Kluyveromyces lactis: one gene and its partners. The protein of the gene in region 1 interacts with the protein of each later gene in a biochemical or structural test. Links are inferred from orthologs where the notes say so. Each region holds a gene or a part of one and is shown in the gene's direction. Other genes may lie near its edges.

What was found.
Region 2: the proteins of HTZ1 (region 1) and CHZ1 are reported together in a solved structure, tested with the Saccharomyces cerevisiae proteins (3 studies listed by BioGRID, with this or other methods). The link is inferred for Kluyveromyces lactis from reciprocal best matches to the Saccharomyces cerevisiae genes HTZ1 and CHZ1.
Region 3: of the proteins of HTZ1 (region 1) and HDA1, one has a biochemical effect on the other in vitro, tested with the Saccharomyces cerevisiae proteins (2 studies listed by BioGRID). The link is inferred for Kluyveromyces lactis from reciprocal best matches to the Saccharomyces cerevisiae genes HTZ1 and HDA1.

What each region holds. Positions count from the first base shown.
Region 1 is NC_006039.1:521,172-526,065, reverse strand, and holds HTZ1 (histone H2AZ), read left to right. Parts: upstream 1-2,672; coding exon 2,673-3,071; downstream 3,072-4,894. Other genes in the region: PLB3 (lysophospholipase), read right to left, coding at 1-1,298; KLLA0_C05896g (OPA3 family protein), read right to left, coding at 3,516-3,992; E3 ubiquitin-protein ligase HRD1, read left to right, coding at 4,326-4,894. UniProt on the Saccharomyces cerevisiae protein: Variant histone H2A which can replace H2A in some nucleosomes. Nucleosomes wrap and compact DNA into chromatin, limiting DNA accessibility to the cellular machineries which require DNA as a template.
Region 2 is NC_006038.1:46,602-51,718, forward strand, and holds CHZ1 (Chz1p), read left to right. Parts: upstream 1-2,933; coding exon 2,934-3,452; downstream 3,453-5,117. Other genes in the region: mRNA splicing protein SMB1, read right to left, coding at 1,922-2,497; Rab family GTPase YPT31, read right to left, coding at 3,792-4,405, 4,816-4,861. UniProt on the Saccharomyces cerevisiae protein: Forms a chaperone-bound H2A.Z-H2B complex that acts as a source for SWR1 complex-dependent H2A to H2A.Z histone replacement in chromatin.
Region 3 is NC_006041.1:750,706-757,586, forward strand, and holds HDA1 (histone deacetylase HDA1), read left to right. Parts: upstream 1-3,342; coding exon 3,343-5,457; downstream 5,458-6,881. Other genes in the region: LYS12 (homoisocitrate dehydrogenase), read left to right, coding at 1-1,074; rRNA (cytosine-C5-)-methyltransferase RCM1, read right to left, coding at 1,184-2,659; KLLA0_E08405g (Ark/Prk/Nak family serine/threonine-protein kinase), read right to left, coding at 5,500-6,881. UniProt on the Saccharomyces cerevisiae protein: Responsible for the deacetylation of lysine residues on the N-terminal part of the core histones (H2A, H2B, H3 and H4).

The sequences.
Region 1 (4,894 bases):
TCCAAAGCAAAGATAACATCGATTTCCCGCTCAGTTTGCAGCAATGGTGTCAATGGGATATTTTGCCCATCTTCACCACCATCCACTAAATACAATGTATCATCTTCACTGATGGATTGGGAATAATTAGAAGGTATGTTCGTGATTTCGTAGAACGGGTTTGGTGCCCAAATCGAGATGTCATCGTAATCATCAGAAGCATCAGTCAAGAATCCGTGAAGTAAGTTGTACAAGAAAGATGGCAAATCAGTAGTGTTAAGTTGTAATAAAAATTGGTTAAACAAGGAGGAGGACGTACCCATAACAAAACCTGTATTATCGAAGCCTGCAACACATTTTCCTGTTACGTTTGGAGTACCATTAGTAACATTGGTACCAGCATATCTAACATCGGTGAAAGTATGTAAGGTGTAATCCCAGGAGCCCATTTCAAATGGATTAAATTCAAAGACAGTTGCATTCAAATTGACAACCTGAGTACCGGGATATCTACCAACAGCTACTGAAATAGGGAAAGGCATTTCACCATTTTTAAAAACATCAACATCTCTCAAGGTATTCCACGTATAACCCACACCACCTTCGTCCAATGATGGGAAGAAATTGTAAGATAGGGCGCGGCCCCATACATCAGTTATAGATGTGTTGAAGCCGGCTTTTTTTTTCTCTTCCACTGCGTCTGAGATGTCATCCCAACGAGAAATACTGGAAAAAATGTTGATACCGCCAGGATTGACGATAGAATTACTAATATCCCAAATACTATTATCGTCAGTCATGTTGTTGATAATTGCTTGAACAGAAGTCCAGTTATTGTAGGCCAAAGTCCCAACGAGCCAGTTACCACCAGACAAACCAGCCAAATAAGTTGAACTTTGTAATAACCCACCCAAACCATGATCATTTGCACCGTCAGTTCTATTATCCATGGCAGAAATCATACCAGCACCGCTCAACATTGCTCTATAACCACCACCAGAGCAGGCAATAGCAACCTTGGGAGCAGTGTCTTGGGTCGCTAACAGTTTATCAATGATTGAGGTGTCATTGGTAAAACCCTTAAAACCACGCTGCAAGAAGTCCTTCAAAGCTGGTACAGTAGATTCGTGTCTAACTTTCAACCAATCCGCTTCATCATCTGAAACAGCATCAGCTTTTCTAACCAAGTTTATATTCTCATCACAATCGACCACACCAGGAGCGTAACCATTTGTCGGAGACCATGCGTTAACGGCATCTAGATGTAGGGCAACCGAACATACCAGAAACAACAGATTAACTGAGTTCAAAAACCACATCAGAAAAGGAATAAACTAATCTTTAACTCGGAACAATTCTATAGATAACCTAACTCAGAGTTGATGTCTGCGCCCTTCACGATAATACTATGTACAGAAGTGACACACTCCAAAAGATTCAATAAAATAATCGTTTGATTTTACCGAGTGTGGACTTTCTATCGTAAAAGCTGATTGTTTAACTGCTTTAAGTTATGGACTTGGAAATCAACTTAATTGGGTCGAGTTAGGACTCAAGATGTAGATGAGAGAAACGGTAGCATTGTTATATATTCACCAGGTTCCATAGTTTATTGATTTATGACAAAATATTAGCTGAGCATTTAAACTTCTATATTTTCCACTTTTCTTCACGCAAAGTGTGTAGGATTGTTATAGTTAGAATTCATCACGCATGCCCGCAAAAAAATGTCTAAAAAAACGCACGGAAAATACAATCTATGTATTACCATAGTAACGACGCACCTAAGAAATGGTACAAGTGCATTATTATCAAAGGGTTTCCAAAAATTTTGTTAAGTAAATGCCCTTCCCCCTATAATAGACGCTGCATGAAGCCCCTATTAGTTGGAGGAAAGGAGGTAAAAGAGGCTGGCAATACAGACAAATTTTCGGATGCACGTACAAAAATTGGAACATTAGTCTAACTGAAAATGCTCAGTTGTCAAGCATTCACTTTAAAGCCCTTTTACTATTCCATTCGAAAAACGAATTCCGGCCCTCATTTAAAATTAAAGGGGACACACAGTGAAAATACCATCATTGCAGTAACACCACTACCATATGTTCTTCGAAATGAGCCGGAACGTTTCTTAAATCCATCAGTGGCTCCTACGCTCTTTAAGGGTACAAGGTTGCAAGCATCTCGAGTTCATAAATAGTTACCCTGCCATGCTGTCTCGTCTGAGGGAAAAGGAAAAAAAAAACAACCGGTAGAATAGCAGGCGGCAAAAAAAAAAAAATCAAGAAAGCGGCAAACTGCACTTCAAAGCTAGACCAATCAAACCGTATGTTCACCTTTGACAACTCCAGACATGTCGATGCCTGTATATCTTCATTATTTCAAATACCTTCGTCCCTCCCGGTTCTTCCTAGCCCTTACCCCAAATCTTATTACTTGTAGCAAATCTCACAATATGAAAGTAAGAGAGGAAACACGAAACTTTCAGACAGAAAAATAAAAATAAAAAATAAACATCAAAACAAACAAAAACAAATCGATATCAACTTAACTTAACTTAACTTCACATAAGTTGAATATTGGACCAGAGGGACTAAGAAAAGATAGAATCTGCTGTTTGCTTTCAAGTTTGAGATATATACGATCAGACATTGCAAGAAAGAGCATATTAAAGTTATTATAGGAGAAACAACATGTCAGGAAAAGTACACGGTGGAAAGGGTAAGTCGGGAGCCAAAGACAGTGGTTCATTGAAATCACAATCACATTCTGCTAGAGCTGGTCTTCAGTTTCCGGTTGGGAGAGTGAAGCGTTATTTGAAGAGAAATGCTGCTGGAAGAACCCGTGTTGGGTCCAAGGCTGCTATTTACTTGACTGCTGTTCTTGAGTATTTGACTGCTGAAGTTTTGGAATTGGCTGGTAACGCTGCTAAAGATTTGAAGGTGAAGAGAATTACCCCAAGACATTTACAACTTGCTATCAGAGGTGATGATGAATTAGACTCCTTGATCAGAGCCACTATCGCTTCTGGTGGTGTTCTACCTCATATCAACAAGGCTTTGTTGTTGAAAGTGGAAAAGAAGCATAAATGAAGCGTGAAAATTGTATCAATTTGAATGAAGTTTAATGAGACTAAGCGCTTAAAAACAGCTCTCTATTGTTATTTCATTATTATATTTCTTCTACTTTTTGACTCTAACTGTAATCATATCCCAGGGTGAAGGGTTGTATATTTTCATCTCCACTTCCCCCCCCTCTCTTTTCCCTTGTCGTGATGGTACACTACTAATTCACCGCATTATCTTATCTCAAAATATCAAAAGTGCAATTTAACCCTCATCTATTCCATTTCCATATTTTTATTAAACAGTTATGTATATGTAACATCTATAATCCAATTCCTACTTTTACTCATGACCTGTTAATATTAGAGCTTGTGTTTACGTCTATACTCAAATACTTATTCATTCCAGAATAGGACTATATACAAGTTTGTTCCGTTAGAATATCGGTGGTCCAATATCCTTTTTGTATTTTCATTTATGTGAGGAGAGTTTTGACTGAATTAATTTTAGTTCTTCCTTAAGACTTTGACATGATTTTATTTGGTCGCTTTGGGTCTTAGTCGTTGATCTCAGTTCTTCGATTTCCGATTGTAAAAAAGCAATATCTTGAGTGACCTGTTCACGTCTATCCAGCTCCTTTTGACGCTGTCTTAAAGTCTCCCACACTACAACACTACCCGTAACACCAAATACAAAGCCTTCGCTGAGCAACGTTGCACCATTTTCAACAGCTTTCGTATCGTTCAACGGACGAATCGTTTTGGAAAACTTAGTTGGCGTCAGTTTGCTTCTCAACACAACATCTGCAACGTGCATTTTCTGGGCCAAACCGATGCAAATTTCCTTGAATACAGCATGCTCTTTTGCTTGCCGCTTCAGCACGTTTGCCATTGGTCGTGTAACCTGCCGTACAAGCAACGCACCCAGTTTCAATGCTATAGCACTCATTTATTCTCTTAACTCGCCGCCTTAGCACGTATACCTATATAGCATCAACTACGCAACCTTAGACATAGCAGAACTTCAGCTTTCCCTTGATATAACTCTTCTACACTCCCATGTATGTATTTTATCAAACTCTATTTTTCTTATACGCAACTTGAAAGATATCGAAACGTTTATACAGACTAAAAAAAGGTTTAAAACTGTGAAATGATCCAAAGAGAAACATCTTGCAGACAAAACTGGGAATCGAAACAAGGAGCTGAGACAGTTTATGTCCTATCACTTTTCGGAGACTGACCTTTTGATTCTTCTCAAGCTTGCTACAACGTCGACGTCATGTTTGGTTTATTCAATCGGAATCCTGAAGCTGGTGCTCCTGGTCAACCGCAAAATGTGTTTCTGACCCAAAAGTTTATTGCCTACTCCCTTATGTCATATACGGCAGCCGCATGGTCTTTACATTATTGTGTAACAACATCTTTCTCTTATTTGCATGCAATGACGAAGATTACCGAGGGTATCCATGCCATGATATGGGGGAATCTCTTTCTATTAAACAGCGTCTTAATACTAAAGGGTGTCATTCACATGCTATTTGGACAGTTACGGTTGATTGAATATGAACATATTCTCGAACGGATATCGTATACCGTAATAACTTTGTTATTATCGTGCTCGTCGATGAATGGGCTCATCTCAGTTATGCAGATACACTGTGTGCTTTTTGTTTGCTGTAGAACGTTACACTGGATCCTCAAGGACAGAATGGAAGTCACTTTCCAGGCAAATGACATGCGCCTTACTTTGAAAGATATATTACTTTCGAGGTTCATGTTCAATTTATTAGTCCTAACAGCCGTAGATGGTATCATAGTGGCATATTACGTTAATAAGATCTTGTACAA
Region 2 (5,117 bases), on another chromosome or scaffold:
CAATTCTATCTCATGATGAGAATTTGCATAAGTATATAAGGTTTATAAAAGTTCTCATCCTTCAACTAAGAGGGTATTTTGGAATAACTAACAATATTGTCTATCAACGTCATTGTTGAATTTATCTAGTGTTTTCAATTCTTAGGGTTGAGTAGTGATGATATAGATAAGTAGCTGCAGTTCTTTCTCTCCTCGAGGTTTGTATCGTGGGGTTGTAAGTCCTGTAATGAGTTGCTTTTTCGTATTGGGGTCATTCCTTGAAGTGCACTCAAGGCTGTTAACAGATTCTTGCTTGACATGGTGTGTAGGTAGTGGTCTTCATGAGCACCTGATGACGAAGCTACCAGGTTTGGTGAGTTTGTTAGGCTACTTAGCCTCGACGAGCTCATGTCGCTGTGTTCCGTGAAAATAGTGTTCACCAAGCTGCTACTGGAATTCTGAGATATTGGAGCAAACTGGGCTGGTTTTTCCACGTCTAAGTACATTGAAGTTTGTAAATGATATGGCACAGGGATCATAGCAGGTAGAGTTGGCTGTGGGGCTATAAGTTTATCGGTATTATTAACTGGAATACCCTGTTCATTCATTTGAGCTAGATTTACCTGACTGGATGATCTGGATTTAGGTCTAATGGTTCTTGGCTTTCTTTTTCTTGATTTGAAATGTGTTTTGATGTGTCTCTTTAATTCGTCATTTCGGCTAAATCGCTTGGGACAACCAGGAACCGTGCATGCGAAAGGCTTTTCTCCTGTGTGTGTTCGTATATGCCTTGTCTTGTGTTCCAACCTATGGAATCTGTTCCCACAAATTTCACATAAATATGGTCTGTCGTTGCACTCTTTTGGTGTTGACATGTTAATTTGTTTGTTATGTTTTGTGATTTATTGTTATTTTGGACTTTATTGGTGGATATTGTATCGTATAACTGGCTAGTAGTTCACTCTGTGATGGATCTTCTCTTTCCTGATAAGGCTTTTGAAAGGATTATGTTTCACATTTAAGTTAATAGGAACTAAACGATTCAGGAAAGAGACGAAAGAAAGATAGTGGGGGGAAGACATGACAAATCGTGGTAACTACCCATATATATATATGTATGTATATTTAAGTACACGGTGTATTATGATGATGATGATGATTACGGTGCTTTGGTAAGTTAAAGTGGGTTGGATTTCCACCATCTTACGACAAAGACTGAACAGCTGGACAATTAGAAATTAATGACGAGACTCTATGAAAGCAACGGAGCTTGAATTTGCACAAAGATTTTTTTTTTATTCAGGTAGATTACTCCAGGGAGAATAATTTTTCCGAAACAATCAATGGTAATTTCTGGGGGAAATTAGTGGAAGCCTCACACGGAAAATCTCGAAGTGGTTTTTCCGGGATGCTTGAACAATCAGTAGGACTATTTCTCCGGATTCCTATAAAAAAAACACACACTCATGATATCGTGGCATGCGATATATTTGTTGTTTTTGCGAAACTTGCAAACTCTAATTCTTGCCCGTTCTCAGCTGAGAGATATTCCGCACCATGATTGTCCAGTTGGAAGCCATATTTAACACATAACATTTCTTTTGTCCGCAGGGCTATGGTGGGGTCATGGGGTATATCTGGAGGTTTCGTATAGGCATTTGGTGGGGTGGTTGAAAAGGGAATGAGGTGGATAATCATATTTCGCACAGGCTTTTAACGTTGCGCAGTACAGGGATATCATTACACTGGATAAAGCTAGATAAATTCTATATCTTCTTGTTCTAGTCGTTACAGTGGGATATCCAAAGTCCTCTGCGTGTACGTAAGAGGTAACTAAAGACATATCTATCAACATGTCTCGGATAATTATAGCTAAGATCGGTGATCGTAGCACCAAAACAATTTTTTTTATATCAATAAGTATGACAAGTTGTTCGCTGGTTTAGTTTCTTTTTTTGAAGCCTGGAGGGGCTTGGAACCGGCTGGGGCGTACCTGACTATTAGAATTAAACCTACTGGGAGCTCCAGAATTCGTATTGATAGGTTTATGACTTGGCTTCGTAACTCTATTTGAACTTTCTGAGTTAGTTGAAGTTATATTAGATCCATTCGTTCCAACGTTCATCTTGTTAGAAGTCTTCCCTTGACGAGCCTTTTTCGCATTATCTAATTTTTTTGCATTCTTCTTCTGGACTTCGATTCGTTCCTTCTTAGAGAGTTGGGGAGGTGACTCAACCGAGGTACTCAACACATGCTCACCCCGTAAAATTATTAGTCCAAAAGTCCTTCTTTCGACTTGCACATTGCTTGACAAGTTTCCTCCACTTTTAAGTACTTCTATGATTTGTTTATGAGGCATGCGTTCCTCTACACAATCTCCCATTACAAGGTTCATATATGCATCAAAAGCCATAAGTTGGCCAATATAAACCCTTCCGTCATGGGTAGCGACTCGTATTCTATAATCTATCAAATCTGATAGCTTCGTTTCCTTCTTTTTAACTTCAACTTGCGACATCGTCCTTGTATCTTTTGTATGATATGCTTAGAGATATAACTATTCTTCTTGGTGAACAAAGAAAGTGAAAAAGACTGTAAACTCGATTGTAAGAGGTATCCTTATATCATGCACAAAAAAGCGGTCCGTAGCAGTGATTCTTTATAGGACCAACGCAAGTTACTCATTGATCGTGAAACTAGTTAATGTTTTAATTTTCGATACAACATGATAGTTAGAATTCATCCACTATGCGGCTATGAAAAAAAATGATCACGTGGAAAATTATGTTTCTTTGGGATTTGAGATAATATGAATTATATTTGGTTCGCAAGATGCGAAAAGGAAACAAATACTGGTAAGCATCTTTAGATCAAAAAAAGCATTGCGTGAGCCTAGGTCGTACTCCTCGAACATCAGCACACTAATCATATCAACAGATACAAAGTTTGCAAATATGGCTGAAGAAATTAAGGATAAGCAAGAATTTCAAATAGGTGCAGAAGAGCCTGACTCTTCCAACGTTGCTTCACAAGCTAAAAGAAGTGCTGAAAGTGAGCTTGCTTCTACCGCTGATGCCAACGATAAGAAATCTAAAAAGAAGAGAAGAAGAAGAAACTATGATGATTTGGATGAAAAAATTGCTCAAGAAGACAAGGCATCTGCTACTTCTGGTGCTAACAAGGAAGAAGATAGTGAAAGTGAAGTCGATGACGAAAAATTAGATCAAATGATGGTAAAAGAAGATGAAGAAGAAGACGACCTTTCAGAAATCGATAGTTCCAATATTATAACTACTGGTAGGAGAACTCGTGGTAAGATTATTGATTATAAAAAGACTGCCGAGAAATTGGAAAAAAATGGTGAGGTTGGCAAGGATGATGATGATGATGAAGACGATGAAGAAAATGACGAAGAGTTCAAGGATCCAGCTGCTCCTGCCCCTGCCCCTGCTAGTCCGACTGAACCCAAATAGAAATTTGAATTAAAAATTTACTCAAGCGCATATAAAAGTTTGTAGTTTCACTAAATCTCCATGTTTGACATTATGGTAGTGTTTCATTTAAAAGAACAATGGATACGACGCAATGAACTGAGAAGGTATTTTGCAGTTAAGAAGTTTCAGGATGTCCTTCCAAACAGCTAGTATTTGCATAATTATGGCAGTCAATGTTATATACATAAAACAAGTGTCTAACTTAATCGGGATAAATGTCCCAGTCGATGATAATTCTGCTTCCCTTTTTCTTTCCGGGGCTTATACTTTCTATATAAACACCCTATAAGGAATGACCATAATACACGTTTAGAATTCCTAACAGCAGTTGTTTGTACTCTTTTTGTGTTTTTCGTTTGGTGCCGGTGTCAAAGAGATCGTAGGTCCCTTTGGAGCGTTGGCATTGTTTCCTGAGGCGTCATTCAAGTCTAGTTGATTTTTGGAAATCATTTGGTAGATAGCAGTAATCAATGCTCTGAACGCTTCGTCAACATTGTCAGCATTCAATGCACTAGTTTCCGTGAAAAGAAGTTGATTTTCTTGAGCATAATTCCTAGCCTCATCTGTTGGAACCGCACGTTTATGATCCAAATCAGATTTATTACCAATGAGTCCAACAGCGACATTTTCATCGGCATTTTGTTTCAATTCAGCCAACCAGTGGTTACAATTTTCGTAGGAACTTGATTTAGTGATATCATAAACTATTAAAGCGCCAACTGCCGCCCTGTAGTATGCTGTGGTGATTGCGCGGTAACGTTCTTGGCCAGCAGTATCCCAAATTTGGGCCTTTATCTTTTTACCTTCCACTTCAATGGTCCTTGTAGCAAACTCTACACCGATAGTAGTCTTTGAATCAAGGTTAAATTCATTAGCTGTGAATCGCGATAGCAAATTGGATTTACCAACTCCAGAATCTCCAATTAGCACGACTGTTAATAAGATAATCGTATCCAGCAAACCACAATAATACGGTTTTTTGATATAATTTTCGGGTTAGTAAAACAACTGCTCATTTTAGAAGCATAAGATTATTACCACCACCCTTGGTGTTAACAAAATTTCGCATGTGCGATGAACAAAGTATAACCACTGAATTAAGATTAAAAGACTCAACTGAATTAAGAGGAGGGACGGGACCCTGGAGATCCCCTGTTGACGGAACATGCCACCGAAACGTTTTGGTTTTAGGCTTCGAAGCAGTTGAAATAACGCTCTGCACACTCCATCATTGGAGGTAAGTGATAGGGCATCACTGCCTCCCCTCCTATTATATAATTCAATTAGCTGATAACTAATCTTTCTCAAAGCGCTAGCACTTGTTCAACAAATTAAAACATACTCTTAAACAAAAAGTCATAGTCGTATCCGTAATCTTCTCCCTGCATGTTGAAATTTCGTCTTGATCGTTTCTTGCTCTTCTATAGTTACCTAATTAGGTATCGTGATAAATTTGGTTAACCAGATGATCTTCCTCTTGTGATTCTCCACAAAGCACGTTATAATCTTTACCTGTAAGAACACTTCAATATATTCAAACGACAAAATAAACCAAACTTGGCACAGTATTTATAAGATTTGATAACGTTTCTTGAAATTTATAAGTTCGACAGACGTGTAAACAACGCTTGAACACTATCTTAA
Region 3 (6,881 bases), on another chromosome or scaffold:
GCTTACGCTTCCAATGCGAAGAATTTAACAATTGGTTTAATTCCAGGTGATGGTATTGGTAAAGAAGTTATTCCTGCTGGTAAGAAGATCTTAGAATCATTGAACCCAAAGTACGGTCTATCGTTTAAATTCATTGATTTGCAAGCTGGTTGGGAAACCTTCCAAAACACCGGTAAGGCACTCCCTGACGAAACCATTGATATCTTGAAGAACCAATGTGAAGGTGCTTTATTTGGTGCTGTGCAATCACCAACGACTAAGGTTGAAGGTTACTCTTCTCCAATCGTTGCCCTAAGAAAGAATTTGGGACTTTTCGCTAACGTTCGTCCTGTTAAATCTGTTGATGGTACTAAGGACAGAAAAGTTGACCTAGTCATCGTTAGAGAAAACACTGAAGATTTATACATTAAATTGGAAAAGTCATACATCGATGAAGCCACCGGAACCAGAGTTGCAGATGCTACCAAGAGAATTACCGAAATAGCAACCAAAAACATTGCTACTATCGCTCTACAAATCGCTCAACAGAGATTGGAACAGAACGGTCATGCCACTTTAACAGTTACTCACAAATCCAATGTTCTTTCACAATCTGATGGTCTTTTCAGAGAGGTATGCAGAGAAACTTATGAAGCTAACAAGGACAAGTACGGAGGTGTCCAATATAATGAACAAATCGTCGATTCCATGGTTTACAGAATGTTCAGAGAACCAGAATGTTTCGACGTTGTTGTTGCACCAAACTTGTACGGTGACATTCTTTCTGATGGTGCTGCTGCCCTAGTTGGCTCCTTGGGTGTTGTTCCATCTGCCAATGTTGGTCCAAACATCGTTATTGGTGAACCATGTCATGGCTCTGCCCCTGATATCGCTGGTAAAGGTATTTCTAATCCAATTGCCACCATCAGATCCACTGCATTGATGTTGGAATTTTTGGGTTACCCAGAACCGGCAAAGGATATCCACAAAGCTGTTGATGCCAACATCAGAGAGGGTAAATACTTGACACCAGATCTTGGTGGTAACTCCACCACCCAACAAGTGTTGGAGGATGTTCTATCTAAATTAGATTAATTAATTAATATATAATGAATATATTTCTACGTTTGTTACGCCAATAACTTTGCTATGATTCGATATTTATTTTATCATGGACAGTGGATATAGAACTAATGGACTTTTACTAATCTCGCTCAAAGCATACGGCGAAAAAGCCAATGCCACCATCTTCCTTCGGTAAAGCCCTGATGCACCCTTCTGCCAACTCTTTTGCTTCCTCTTTCGGAAACACCTCTTCAAATTCACTGGTCCATCCTCTTCTAGGCCATGTTGGAATTACACCGGTTCTCTTTCTTACTTTCCAACCCCATTCCTTGACCTTTGAGTCTAAGAGCAAATCAATGACAACTCTTTCGTTTTCTTCAGCATGAATAGAACAAGTACTATAGCATATTTTCTTAGCAGATGGGAAAGACATGGCGTGTTTCACAATTTGGTATTGGAAAGATGATAATTTGGCTAATCTATTCTTCAAATCTTGTTCCTTTTCAAACAATTCTTTTTCTTGCTCCACAGGTTCAACCGAGGTCTGATCTTCATCGGTGTTTGATGACCCAGTCTTGCTCAAGTTTACTTTATCAATTGCCTTACGGCCAAATATACCAGAGCCAGAACAACTTGGATCAACGATGAATCCAGTTACATTCTGGAAAAGTTCTGGTTTACCAAGTTTTGTGAAATCACCAACATGTATCTTGACCCCCTTAGCACAACCCGCGGTGGCAACCATCATCTGTAAAGTTTTTGCACGCTCAGGATCCTTCTCAAAAGCATGTATCTTGACTGAATCGACCTTGGTGTCAACGTCTCCAAAGATATGTGCCGCAACGTGTGTGGTTTTATTGCCGGGAGCCGCACATGCATCGATAACAACGTCAGTACTGTTTGGATTGAGGATGTGGGCGGGGAAACAGGATGCCCTGTCTTGAATGATAATTTTCCCCCTCTTATATTGCTCATGCGAAGTGATCTTATCACCTGGATGAATGCCAAACAAGTTTGGAATATACTCATCGTAATATATGCTCCCAGGAACGATTTGTTTCCAAGAGTTCACTCTTTGTGGGAATTTCTTGTTTAATTCAGCAAGAACATCGTCATATCTTTCCTTGACAAGGATAGGGTTAATTCTGATCCAACGAACCGGTGTAACATCTTCTCCATCATCGGTTTTGATTAACTGCGACAGACTGGTGACTTTAAGTTTAACTTTGAGCTTTGTCAACTCAGCCTTTAACCTAGTCTGATGCTTCAAAATGAAAGTTTTGATAGGATGCTTACCCATCTGAATCCGCTTCGATTTTGAAAGTAAAAGGTCGTGTACTAGGAGCCTTATGGTATCCTTATTGAACAGCGGTTTCCCTTTCTTTTTCGGTACGTCCTCCAAGATCCCGCTCTTCTTAATGATTTTATCTAGATATTCCCTATACTGCCATGTACTACTAACAATGGCATAAATGTGACGAGGATTTGTCTTCAGCTTATATCTTTTACAACTAGTAAGTACCAAGGTCTGTAACGAACCTGCAACTCTCTTGTCTTTAGAGAGCTCCTGTTCCACGAATTCCAATACCCAGGTTGCATCACGGTAGAATTCCATCTCGAATCACAATGAAGTTAAAATGAAAATCCAATGAAATAGCGCTGTATAGCTTGTACCACAGATCCAGCAAAATCAGTTCTAACACGTAACTATATTACGTCTATTCTATACCTCATCGCGATGAGCTCTTGTTACATGTTTCTTCATACGTATTATACATTTTCAATTTTCAGTACTTGAAGAGTCCGATGTTGAAAAATAATTTCTTTTCTATTGTCACCTCAGTTTGGTTTTCTGTAAATATTGGAACTTTAAAACATCAACAATTTCCTGCGCTCATGGAACCATATGTGAAACAGCTGATCTTCATACGGATCTTCTGAGTACCAGATCCTGTGCAAGACAGCTACGTCCATATAACCAAGGTCAATCAAACGATTCTGACGGTATCTGAACACAAAACAACTTTTTTGGCCAGTAAAATTTCGAGAGATAATCCGAACGAAGAGAGTTCTCTCACAGCTTTTCCGCCATTTTCAGTGGACTTTTAGCCTTTCCTCACGATTAGAAGGTAAAAAGGCGCTCTAGGGAATTAAGCGTGCATTGGAGTTACGTAATTTGTGGTTGTATCATTCATTTCTAGTAGACCGTTTCCCATTGAAAGCTAGTTACGGTATCCCTTTTGCCATTGCCTGTCATTCAACATTATCGTGGTTACCTTTCCATAATATATTCGGAACATGGAAAGTAAAAAACCGGCTGAAGAGCCGCTGGAAAGGCCCAGCATCAAGGAAATTAAAAATGAGGGTACTGCATATACTCTGCCCAGTAAAGATGAATCTCAACGGCCTGTCATTGTTCCACCAACGAAGCCAAAGATTAGATATAGTCTTTTGAAAACCGGGATCTGTTATGATGTGAGGATGCGTTATCATGCTAAGATCTTCACGTCTTACTTCGAATACATCGATCCACATCCAGAGGACCCCCGCCGTATCTACCGTGTTTACAAGATCCTAGCGGAGAATGGATTGATTCAGGACCCAACTTTGAGTGGTGCAGATTCGATCGGAGATCTAATGGTGAAGGTTCCCGTACGTGAAGCTGAAGAGGAAGAAATTTTGCAAGTCCATTCAAGACAGCATTTGGATTTCATATCACAGACAGAACAGCTCGAACGTGAAAGTTTACTCAAGGAGACTGAGGGTGGAGATTCCGTGTATTTCAATAATGACTCGTATCTTAGTGCCAAACTTTCATGCGGTGGTGCTATCGAAGCATGTAAGGCTGTCGTCGAGGGAAGAGTGAAAAACTCAATAGCTGTAGTAAGGCCACCTGGTCATCACGCTGAACCTGAAATTGCTGGTGGTTTTTGTTTGTTCAGTAACGTAGCCGTCGCTGCTGCAAATATGCTCAAATCGTATCCTGAAAGTGTTCGTAAAATCATGATCGTTGATTGGGATATCCATCATGGTAACGGAACTCAAAAGGCCTTCTATGACGATGATAGAGTTTTATATGTATCTCTTCACAGGTATCAATTAGGCAAGTATTACCCAGGTACTATCCATGGAAACTATGACCAAACCGGCGAAGGGAAAGGTGAAGGTTTCAATTGTAATATAACGTGGCCAACAGGCGGTGTTGGTGATGCTGAATACATGTGGGCTTTTGAACAAGTTATCATGCCAATGGGTCGCGAGTTTGAACCGGATTTGGTCCTTATTTCATCTGGTTTTGATGCAGCCGATGGTGACACTATCGGCCAATGCCATGTTACTCCTGCTTGTTACGGTCACATGACCCATATGCTACTTTCGTTGGCTAAAGGAAACTTGTGTGTTGTCTTAGAAGGTGGGTACAATTTGGATTCTATAGCTAAGTCGGCGCTTGGTGTTTGTAAGGTGTTGGTCGGAGAACCACCAGATGAATTGCCTGCTCCTAAAAAGCAACCAACTCCAGAGGCAAAAAAAATGATCGAAACAGTCATCAGAACGCAGTCAAAGTATTGGTCTTGCTTTAAGAACAGACATGGAAATGACGGGATCAATTTCAAGGATGCTATAACTTCAACATTGGACACAAGGAATTTCCCTTTACAAAATGCTATTAGAGAATACCAAGTTTCACAGCTCTCATCACAATTCAACTTTGTTCAACTTCCAATTCTTGATTTGAATTTACCAGCAAATACTATGCTATGCACCTCAGGTATCCAAGACTCTGAAACACTTGTGGTGATCGTGCATGACACACCAGAGATTTGGTCTGAACGTGACACACAGACAGGAATTATTGATCCTTCTAGTTCAATTATCGTCGACAATGCTTTGAAGATGATCAATTGGGCAATGGATAGAAGATATGGAATAATTGACATAAATATACCTCAAACACTCTTTGAACATGCCAACTACCCAGGTGTTGCGTCATCACAAGAGATTCTGATATATTTATGGGATAACTACTTGAAATTCTTCCAAAATCTACAAAAGGTGGCATTTATCGGCATTGGAGATGCCTACGGAGGCATTGTCCATTTATTAGGCCATAGGGATACCAGGTCAGTGGTAAAATGTGCAATATCATTTTTAGACAAAAAACCTCTTAAAGTAATGGTGCCATTAATTGACGAAACGTTAGGAGATTGGTATTTCAAGAATTCCTTGGTATTCACAAGTAGCACACATTCTTGTTGGGGTAGTACGGCCAACGAAAATAAGAAGTTAAGAAAGAAGTATGGTAGAGTTTTGAAGGCAGATTGTGACGGAATGACAAACATATTCGATGAACGTTTTGAAGAAGCAACTGATTTCATATTGGATTCTTTCGAAGAATGGAGTGAATCGGAATAATTAGAATATCATTATAAAGATATATGTAATTTTAAAAGTATTCTATAATGCACTTGGAAATCTTCTTTCAAACTCTTTCATTTCTTTTCGAGATTGGAAAGGGCTACCCACAGAATCTTGATCGGAATCCTGCTCTTTAACTTCGGATTTTGCTGGGCTTGTTCTGAAAGATTTTGCCTTTAGGTGTTTAGGCTTAGGTGGAAGATTTGGCTTCAAATGAGCTGGTTTGGGTGGCGGTGCTGGTTTGGATTTAGGAGCCTCATGCACAGGAGTGATCACTGTACTTGATTTACGATTTGCATTGGATTTATGGTGGTCAGATATATCGGTTTTCCTCCCAATATCAGTATATTTCCCGTATCCAGTGGCAGAAGAGCGATTGGGTATATCATCTGCATTGATTAGATCTTTAACGCGCTTCTGGATCGAAGATGAAGTTTTCAAGGAAGAGGATCTTCTCAGTGATGATTTTGGTTTCTCCTTTTGTATATCTTCGATCAATTCATAGTCATTATTTTCCGGAACGAAGGAAAACGAGCTGGTGGACCGCCTATGGGATTTGGTGTTAGAAGAAGTATTTTCAGGAATGGATTTGCCTGAAGTACTTCTATACTTTCTTGCTTCTAAAGATGATTTTCTGGAACTGCTATCACCAGTGAACTGCATTGAGGAAATTCCCTTTCTTAATGCGTTAAATGCGGATTTTACGCTTTCACCGGTATTTTGTGCACTTCTAATGGTTGAAAAGCCCCTCTTCTCTCCGGTGATAACTTTTTTCATCTTAGAACCTATTTTACGAGTCAAGCTACCGCCAGTTGAGGTAGCTTCCAAGGATTCCGCAGAAGACAGAGATGATGCGACTGATTTTCTAGACAGAGATCGTGAAAGACCCAGTTCTGATGGATGATCGCTGGTTTGAGTTTCAGAGTCCACATACTTTGGTCTATCTAAGGATGTTCTGTTTGATGCCAAGATACTTGAAATGGCACCTCTACCATTTCTTACTGGACTCACAGAGGCTCTAGGCACTACTGATTGCGATCTTGTCAGAAGATGAGGCTGTTGATATTCTAGTTGTGGTATTCTCATTGCCCTCGGTAGTGATTCCATTGTAGCAGAAGTAGACAAAAGAGCAGATCTATCAATTTTGGAGAATGGATCTGAACTTGTGTAGTTTGAAACCGTCTGAGGAACTGTTTTTCCTGCAGGTTGCTTTTGTGAGAGTAAATCCTGCTGTGTGACCATAGGTTGACTCTTAGACACATGCAAATAAGGCAAGTGCTGAATAGATGCAGTTTTCGATGGAGTCTGTACGTTTGATACAACTTGGGGGGGCAGATGCTGAGTTGAAACAGAAGTTGGCACAGTTGCCGGCACAGTCATCTGTGGCACATGAGGAGGTGGCGACACCCTTGGTTGTTCCT